Coturnix japonica: one gene and its partner. The protein of the gene in region 1 purifies or fractionates together with the protein of each later gene. This does not show direct contact. Links are inferred from orthologs where the notes say so. Each region holds a gene or a part of one and is shown on either strand. Other genes may lie near its edges.

Region 1 (4,920 bases):
GATAAACTACATTTAAAACTTTAAAATTTGGACACATATACACAGAAGGACTGATGCTGAAGAGGACTTTATAATAGAAATTTGCTTTAATGATCAAAACTAATTCATTTGGATGAGATTCTATACAATCAATGTACTTTCTTAAAGAATGAATGAGAACCATGTGAACGGGATCTTATCAGTGGGTACAAATACCTGAAAGGATGCCAAGAGGATCAATCCAGGCTCTTTTCAGTACAGTCTGTTGCCAGGGCAAGAGGCAATGGGCACAAACTCAAACACAGGAGGTTTGCACTGAACACCAGGCAGCATTTCTGTGCCATGCAGGTCATGGAGCACTGGACCAGCTTGCCCAGAGAGGTTGTGAGCACTGATCCTTGTAGATCTTCAGAAGCTGTGTGGATGTGGTGCTGGGCACCCTGCGCTGTGCAGCCCTGCTGGAACAGGGGTTGGGTGAGATGGACCCAGAGGTCCCTTCCTACCACAGCTACCTTTTGATTCTGTTACTCTGTGAACTGGTCTTTTCATGTTGTGGGACAAGAAAGCAATGATGATTGGGGCCATCTAATTGAAGCACACCAATTTGCTAAGTATATCCACCAAACACACACATGTGCATCTTAGTGTGCATCAAATGCAGACCAAATACCCCAAATCTAAGGCTACTTTTGGAATTCTGAGGTAACATTTTTGAGAAACTATGAATATTAAGCTAGAGTCACAGCCAGGCACAGTGACAATGTTCTGCTAGAGTGCTTCCTTGAACCCCTTGTGATGTCCACTCCCATGGCCTGTTCTCCCAAGTGCTTCTCTGGACAATCAGCACAGCACACAATCTGGGTCTTGCTGGGTGTCATCAGCCGCTCTGTAAGTACCAAAAACTTGGGATACCTGTGGACATGCCTAGAGAAGAGCTCCTTCTGCCCTATGAAACTTTTGGAGGCAAAGTACAATATAATTAAAAGATGAAGTCACGTCTCACTTCTTCAAGAATGCTTCGAAAAAGCAGGTGGAAATATTAGTATAAAAACATTTATGAAGCAGCACGCTCATCATAATGAGGCAGATATAGTGTTGTTGACAGGCTACAGCAAATGGGATGGTTCTAACTGCATGCTTATGATTGAATGGTGTTCATGTAGTCATTATTAAAATTAATTTCTGGAAAGGATTAACTACTGGCTTGTCTGATTAGAGAGAATCTTCATTTTCATGCACCTTAAAGTTTCCACTGCACTGGACGGCTGTTTGAAGTGCTGTCAGAAAAATTAGTAAAGCAGTGCAATAAAGGAAATGCAGAACTTATGCATTTGAACTTATAATACTGTAGAAAAAATGTGCAGTGACAGAATAATACGTGTCTAAATTCTCTCAAGGGGAAAATGTCACACTTTATAGGGGGGGGGAAGCCCACACTTTTGAAGAGAATTTTCAGTTTTTCATCATGAAAGCCTGCCAGCAGAAGATGTACAAGCTGGTTTTGGACACTCAGACCACCTAGTTTCTGGGCCTGGCTTTTCCAGGTCTAAACAGCTTTTGGCTCATGAAGAGAAGCTGTGGTCAGATACACACACTGCCCAGGCTGCTGACACGCTATGGGCCTGTTTCATCTCTTTATTTTCACACACCAGTTCCTCCCAGCCCACCTTGATTCCTCCATTTTTGTACAGTAACAGATTGCCTTGGGTTACAAGGCACCTCAAAGATCCTGTTCTAAACTTCTGCAGAGGGCAGGGCTGCCAACTACTCCATCAGACACCAGCTCCGGCTGCACAGGACCCCACCCAGCCTGGCCTTGAGCGCCTCCAGGGATGTGGCATCCACAGCACTGCGCTCTGACCCTTAACACCAAAGGAAATGAGCTTTTAAATCACACAACTTGACGCAGGCGGAGTCAGACGAGCCCTCGCGAGACGAGACTCGAGGCTCCGTCTCTCTCCCGGCCTCTCTTCCTGTTTCCTGTGGCGTGGCGCTGAGGGCGGCATGGCGCTCTACAACTTCAAGAAGATCACGGTGGTGCCGTCCGCCAAGGTACGTTTATACGCGGTGCTGGGCTGGCAGGAGAGCTCTGTCCTTCCCCTTCCCTCCCTCAGGTTCCCAGCGGGCTCCGTGCTGTGTTGGCGGGGGAACTTCGCTCCGTGCCGGCGGGGTGTGGGTCAATGCCCGGCCTCCGCCTGAAGGGAGGGGGTGTTTATCGCTGTGTTCAATGGAGACGGCTGGGAGCTGACAGCGCTGCTTTGTTTTGTAGGACTTCATCGATTTGACGTTGTCGAAGACTCAGCGCAAGACCCCGACCGTCATTCACAAGCATTACCAGATCCATCGCATCCGGCACTTCTACATGAGGAAGGTGAAATACACCCAGCAGAACTACCATGACCGGCTGACACAGATCCTGTCGGACTTCCCCAAGCTGGATGTAAGTGCAACCTCCCACCTTCACACAGAATCACAGAATCACAGAATGACCCGGGTTGGAAGGGACCTCAAGGATCATGTAGTTCCAACCCCCCTGCCTGGCAGGGCCACCAAACATACACCTTTACTAGATCAGGTTGCCCAGGGCCCCGTCCAACCTGGTCTTGAACACCTCCAAGGACGGGGCATCCACAACCTCCCTGGGCACCTTCAGTTCTTCAGCAGTGTCACTTCAGTTGGCAGAGTGAACATTGCTCTCAGCCCTATCAGAGCTGGTTTTACAAGTGCACTCTGACATGGTGTGCGTGGTCATAACTTCCCAGGTAATCGATGATAGATGTAATCGGTGATAGAACTAGAGGGAATGGTTTTAAGCTGTGCCAGGGGAGATTCAGGCTGAACATTAGGAAATATTACTTCTCAGAAAGGGTGGTCAGGCATTGGAATGCACTGCCCAGGGAGGTGGTGGAGTCACTGACCATGGGAGTGTTCAAGAAATGTTTGGATGTTGTGTTGATGAATATGATTTAGCTGGGAAGTATTGGTAATGGTTGGACTAGATGATCCTCTAGGTCTTTTCCAACCTTGATAATTCTGTGATTCTGTGAAGTACAGCTGTGTGCAGGTGCCCACTGGGACTTCTGTATGGGCAGCTTCATAAACCTGTTTAAATCCTTCACTTGACTTTTCCTACTCTTTTTCTGTACACTGAATTCCTGCAAATATTGCCTGCACTTCAATATCTCATGATGAAATTTCTCCACATAAGTGCATAAATAGCTAAAAATACTTAGTCTAGAAGAACTGAAGGTGTTGCTTTCTCAGAAAGCCAAGAGGTTTATCTGGACATTGAAGAAACCCTTATTATCCAGTCTTGCCTGTGATTTAGCACTCAAACAAAGGAAGGAGTTAACGCCGTATTTCTGCTATAGGATGAATTTACTATTAGAAATTGCTTCTGCAGGCTTCTCGTGGTTTCATTATTCACTAGAGGAAAGTTCAGACTTGAGAACTGAAAGTATTTTGCAGTGCAAAAGACAAAATGGAAACTTGGTCTAAGCCAGTTCAAGTCATCACTGCAAAAAAGTCAAAGCATTAACAATGATGCATGTAATGACCAAGGGGATTATTTTTCTTAGGCAAGATAGTAATGAAAACAGTTTGGTTTGTCATCTTCAAGAAAATAAGGTTAATGCTATGTCCTTTTTTTTTTTTTGGTTTTAGGATATTCATCCTTTTTATGCCGATCTGATGAACGTTCTGTATGACAAAGATCACTACAAGTTGGCTTTGGGACAGATTAATATTGCCAAGAATCTGATTGACAAGTAAGGAAAGTTTCTTCCTTCAGTTCTGTTCCTGTGGGGTTGGTTGCTGCATCACTCCCTGTTTTGCTGTCCCTGCAGTGTTGCGAAGGACTACGTGCGCCTGATGAAGTACGGGGATTCTCTTTACCGCTGCAAACAGCTGAAACGTGCGGCTCTGGGACGGATGTGCACCATTATCAAAAGGCAGAAACAAAGCTTGGAATATTTGGAGCAAGGTTCGTGTAATAAATGTGCTAAAATACAGGAATATGAACACAGCATGCGCTGTTATTCATACAAAGAATAACAGTTTAAAACAGAAAAATGCATTAAGTACAGAAATGTAGGTAATAAAAATGAAATAGTTCTCAAATGCCCAGTTAGAATTCAATTTTCAACCAAATAGTTCTCTTAATTTAAATTAAAATGGTACAGAATGTCTGTACCTGCTTAAAGGTTGTAGCCATGCTTGTGTTTATCATTATTTTCACATACGTATATCTGAAAAATTCATCATAGAATCATAGAATGGCCTGAGTTAAAAAGGACCACAATGATCATCTGGTTTTGACCCTGCTGCTGTGTGCAGGGTCCCCAACCACCAGACCAGGCTGCCCAGAGCCACATCCAGCCTGGCCTTGAATGCCTCCAGGGATGGGGCATCCACAGCCTCCTTGGGCAAAACCTGTTCCAGTGCGTCACCACCCTCTGTGTGAAAAAATTCCTCCTAATATTCAACCTAAACCTCCCCAGTCTCAGTTTAAGACCATTCCCCCTTGTTTTATCACTATAAATCCATGTAGACAGCCGTTTCCCCCTCCTGTTTCAATGCTCCCTTCAAGTACTGACAGGCCACAATGAAGTCTTACTAGAGTCTTCTACAAACTAAACCAGCCCAGTTCCCTCAACCTTTCTTCATAGGAGAGGTACTCCAGCCCTCTAATAAGATAATTATCAGTTATTGCTAAATGCTTTCCAAGCAGTGGTCCTGTATTTAAATGTATACATCAATTTTTCTTCCGTTCAAAAGTGAATTAAGACAAATACTTCACTCATCTTTTAAATGTTTCAGTGCGACAGCATTTGTCTCGTTTGCCAACCATTGATCCCAATACAAGAACTCTTCTGTTGTGTGGCTATCCAAATGTTGGGAAGTCAAGCTTTATAAATAAGGTGCGTGATTTTTCTTTAAATG
Region 2 (4,862 bases), on another chromosome or scaffold:
TCAGGCTGTCTTTGTAACATACCCAGAACCTCAAGGAATTCATAAACATCATAGGTTCTGTCACAGTCCAAGTCAGCCTCACTGGTAAAAGAAGTTAGTCTGATTCAATGAAGGTATTTGTACACATGAATTTCATTGAAAACATGGCATAATCATTCATAATTCACATTCCTTTTTCTGGGTTCCACCTAATTTGATGTTCAAAGTGTGAACTGAAAGCCTAAGATTAAAACTTCTTAAAGCTGTCCTGCAGTTGCTTCTGCTACAACCAAAACTCAACAGGGATTAATTATGACAAGACACGGACTTCACAATACACTCAGGCAATAAAGACTTAAAACTTGTTCTGCAGTGCTACTAGATTAAGTACTTACCCCAAATAACTTTGCCCCCTTGCGTCACAAGACCAAGTTCACTCACGTTCACTTCAATGACGGTACCTTTGGTAATTACACCCAGACTTGTATACAAAGGAGAAGAAGGATTCTTTTTTACACCAAGGATAGGCAGGCAAAAAGTAGCTTTAAGTTCAGGATGTGTCACATGTGCCTTCTTGAAACGTAAGCCCTGTAGCACAAGGTGTTAGAAAACATTAATATATATACTTCAAGTCCTCAGAGCTAATTTAACATTTCTAGCATTACGTCCTCAGATTTATACATTTTACGAGACTGGGAAAAATGAAACAAGCCAGAACATAGAAAATTGCTTGCTTACTATAGAATGTTTGTTAAGAACCTGATTAATGACAAGGTTAGGTGCTTTTTTTTTTTTTCTTTTTTTAAATGGGTAGCTTCAGAATGCAGCTTTTTTAACAGACAGGAGGGAGTACATGAGCCTGACAACAGAGCTGCCCCTGCAGCTGACACAATCATAGCAGCTTGAAAAAGACAGAAGCTTCTGAAGTGCTTCTGCTGAAGATCTTCCATGCTAATTTGAGAGCTCATGGCTTTAACTTATTGATGTCATCTCAGTTATGTGAGTCAGGATGTAAATATTCCAATGCAGACTGCAGGGCTACCTCCAGCTAGTCTAAGTTCAGGTTTCATAAAGGAAAGTAATACAAACATTCTTACTCAGTAGTAATCAAGTGCATTAGCACAGAAGGAAGTTCCTACATAAAACTTCATTCTACTTTACCTAGCTTACTAGGATGGTCTAGATGGGTCCCTTCCATCCAGAGCCATTCTGTGAGTCCTTGCCAAACTCAAAACATTTAAGTTAAAATAATTAGTACCTAAATATTTGAAAGTTTCAATAACATTACCATTGGTCGAATGAATCGCTCATACTTCGGAGGTTTCCTGGTAAAGCCATCTCCAACAAAACAAACTTTTGTAACCATTCTCTTCCAGGCCTTCTTCTTTCTCTTTCCAGTACGAATCACTTTTAAAACTTCAGTCTCTCCCTGTGCACGGACCTTTGGCACAGGAACCTCCCATTTGCCCTACAGGAAACACAACTGTCATTAGGTATGTGCCATTTCTCTATGAGACCGGACAATCAGAGTATAAAATACAATTTAACTAATCAGAGTTGCTGTAAACCACGTATTTTACGCAACTAATAGCTACTTACTTTAATTAGCAATCAGGTTTATGGAAATCAACTCTTTGCACATGCTTACTTTGCTCAACGCGACTAACCTATTCAAAGTTTTAGCTTTTGCACATCAATGCTTAGACCTCACCTGCAAGCTGCAAGACACTTAAGCATCAGTAACACAGTGATTATGGTAGTATGGAGTGGTAGTGATTACCACGAGAAATACTAAGTATCTGAAATTAATCCAGCTACTTACAGCTTTTTCTTTTCGCTTCTGTTTGATCATGTTAGAGAGAACCTTAGCCCGGGACTGGCCCTCTCTGTCCAGCAGGTACGCTGGTACAGCTCCTTTAGGAGTCTTATCCTCATTCTTTTCCTTTGTATTTCTCTTTTCGTGCATTTTAATTCTGCAAGGAGAAACAAACAGTATTAAAATCAGAAAAGAAGCAAATTTTGAGATGCAATAGCTTAGGTTGTGCCTATTCAAAATATTCCCTAAGGTTAACACAGCATTTACATTTGAGGAACAGTGCCTACATACTTTTCATAGGAAGGCAGTAATTTCTCTTAACACAACAGCTGACAGACTAGAGCCTGCTCAGTTTGTTCAGACCACGGTATAAGACTCTTACCAAGGAACTGTCTTAAAGCAAAGTGCCTAACAGACATGGGCAAGCATGTCCTGTAGTCATGCTGTCATCAGACTGAAAGCCAATATACCACTTTTGTATTCTGCTACGATTACATAATTGCAATCACTACTGCTAATTAACGCATATGCTAAGGAATGCTTTTAGGAACAGAGTCATTCATTGCAATGGTAAGGGGAAAAAAAAAGAAGAAAGAGGCACAGAGAAAAGAGGCTATCAGAAGTGTCTTAAGCACTCTCTCCCACAATTAAGCAACATATAAGAAGTACAAGGCTGTCTCGATCCTGCAGACACAGGGCACCAACACGACGCTAGGACAACGTGACTCACGTCTTCTTCATCTGGATCTTCTCGGCGTGCCGCTGTTTGTGGTACAGCTTAGCCTTCAGCCCTATCATCTTCTTGGCCTTCCTGGAGCGCTCGTGAGGCTCTCGCCCTTCTTTCTTCCTCTTCTTTTCATGGTAATCCAGCCGATATCCGTACCGCTTGCGGTGTAACTCGATGTACTCGTTCTGCGGCTATGGGCACAGGGTAAAGTGTTTAGAGCCTCACGACAACGGGACGAGGCCGGGGAGCACCACAACAGCGCGGGGCAGCGGGGCCACCTCTGGTCCCAGCCCCAGCCCCAGCCCCAGCCCCAGCCCCGGCCCCGGTCCCGGTCCCGGTCCCGGTCCCGGTCCCGGTCCCCATCCGTCCCTCCGCGTTCCCAGCCCCGCTCTCACCATGGCGGCCACACGTCGTCCTCCCTCCTCGCCGCTCTCCCGTGCTCAACCAAAAGGCCTGTTACTTCCTCCGGCCGCCCCCAGGTGGAAACGATCCCCACGGCTCTTTGGTTCCGCCTTGGGGACGGACGGCACCCTGCTGGTCCCTAGGGCTGCGGCCCGGCTCGGCGTGGCAGAAAAGGGGCGAAATGTGCGGAAAAAGCCGTCGTGGCTGTTAGTTAAAGCCTGTGTGTGTTGGTTAGCGGTGGGACCGAGGAAGATGGGTTGGCTGTGGGGGAGCACAATGAGGCGCGCACTTTCCGGGGCGGATCGCGGCCTGCTCATGAGCGCTGCGCTGCGGTCACTTTAACGATGTAGCATTTTGTTAATTAAAAAGCTCAATTTTCACCGCCTTCCAGAGTACAAGGGGGTGTTTCCCGGGTCAGAAACCGTGTGTGAGTGGGTTGTGAGGCCCTGCTGCTGCAGCCAGGCCAGAGAAACAGCAACCTGAGTTGCCAAGGTGTTGATGTAGTCGTGTGGAAACAGGAGACACGGCTTTTAGAAGGCAGCGGGACTGTGGTGCAGCCTCAGAATGTGGAGAATCATGAGGAAGTTCTCAGGGAATGCACCGAAATTGTCACTGAAGTGGTCACGTTTGTGCAGCCAGGTAAATGCCTTCACAGATGTTAATGCTTTCAGCGTGAATTTGAGGAGATCACCCACGTTACAACAAGGAAACCATGTTTATTGGGCTTCCTGAATGTTGTTGAGGCTGGGCTCTTATTTAAGCTCTGGCCTTAAGCGCTTCTGCTTCCACACAGGTGACAGTTTCACTTTATGTAAATACCTAATAAGCATCAGTTGATTCAGATCTTGTTTATAATTCTACAACTGGAAAAATTATGCCTACAAATCAATTATCATGTTATGAATTCATTATGATGACAATTACGTGTGTTTTCTCTTTTTCCTTCCATTGGCAGCATGTGTGTTTCAGGAAGCCAAAAGTCACAGTCCTAAGTATGAAGCAGCAAAACAGCAGTGTAAGAAACTACAGCTCTCCACCAGGTATGCTTGTAAATTACATTTTTATGCTTCTAAATTTAATTTATGACTTATTACTAGGAGTTACTGAGAAGTGAGTAAGAACACTTGCAAAGTTTTGTTGGTAATATTTGGCATTTGAAGCACAGAGTGGTTAAAAGGTACAAGGACTGGGAAGAGTGGTTTTGTATTGCTGCTGTTTTCTCAGTAGTTTTGTGGTATAAGGATTTAGGAAATAAGAAAAAGGAAAAACACAGGTGGATAAAAAGCCAGATTAGCTACGGAAGCTGCAGTAATCCCTGTCCAATAAATGCATGAAGTATGAGGGACCTGGATGGACTGCATTGATGGGCTAAGGTAAACTGTATGAATTTCAATAGGGCCAAGTGTCAGGTCCTGCATTTTGGTCATGAAAAACCCATGAAACCCTACAGGCTTGAGGAAAAGTGTCTGGAAATCTGCCTGATGGAAAGTGACCTTGGTGTACTGATGGGCAGTCGGCTGAATATGAGCCAGCAGTGTGCCAGGAGACCAAGAAGGCCAATGGCATCCTGGTGTGTGTCAGGAATGGTGTGGTGAGCAGCACTAGGAAGTCATCCTGCCCCTTACTCGGCATGGTGAGGCCTCACCTCGACTACTGTGTTCAGTTTTGGGCACCTCAGTACAGAAAGGACATGGAAGTGCTGGAGCAGGTCCAGAGAAGGGCTTGGAGAATATGCCTATGAGGAGAGGCTGAAGGAGCTGGGCTGTTTAGTCTGGGAAGAGGAGGCTGCTCCTTTCCAGTATCTGAAAGGTGCTTACAGCAAGAGCAGGGTTGGTCTCTCCTCACTGGTGACAGGTGACAGGACAAGGCAAAATGGCCTCAAGTTGTGCCAGGGTAAGTTTAGGATGGATATCAGGAAAACTTCTTTACAGAAAGGGT

What was found.
Region 2: the proteins of GTPBP4 (region 1) and NSA2 purify together in Homo sapiens (affinity purification with mass spectrometry; 3 studies listed by BioGRID and IntAct, counting the BioPlex papers as one, with this or other methods). This does not show direct contact. The link is inferred for Coturnix japonica from reciprocal best matches to the Homo sapiens genes GTPBP4 and NSA2.

Annotation. Positions count from the first base shown.
Region 1 is NC_029517.1:9,317,044-9,321,963, forward strand, and holds the start of GTPBP4 (nucleolar GTP-binding protein 1), read left to right. Parts: upstream 1-1,895; 5' UTR 1,896-1,983; coding exon 1,984-2,031; intron 2,032-2,248; coding exon 2,249-2,419; intron 2,420-3,642; coding exon 3,643-3,746; intron 3,747-3,824; coding exon 3,825-3,961; intron 3,962-4,797; coding exon 4,798-4,898; intron 4,899-4,920. UniProt on the Homo sapiens protein: Involved in the biogenesis of the 60S ribosomal subunit. Acts as a TP53 repressor, preventing TP53 stabilization and cell cycle arrest.
Region 2 is NC_029547.1:22,112,456-22,117,317, forward strand, and holds the start of NSA2 (ribosome biogenesis protein NSA2 homolog), read right to left. Parts: upstream 3,046-4,862; 5' UTR 2,921-3,045; coding exon 2,918-2,920; intron 2,714-2,917; coding exon 2,526-2,713; intron 1,953-2,525; coding exon 1,802-1,952; intron 1,448-1,801; coding exon 1,268-1,447; intron 568-1,267; coding exon 375-567; intron 1-374. Other genes in the region: GFM2 (ribosome-releasing factor 2, mitochondrial), read left to right, coding at 3,489-3,563, 3,880-3,964. UniProt on the Homo sapiens protein: Involved in the biogenesis of the 60S ribosomal subunit. May play a part in the quality control of pre-60S particles.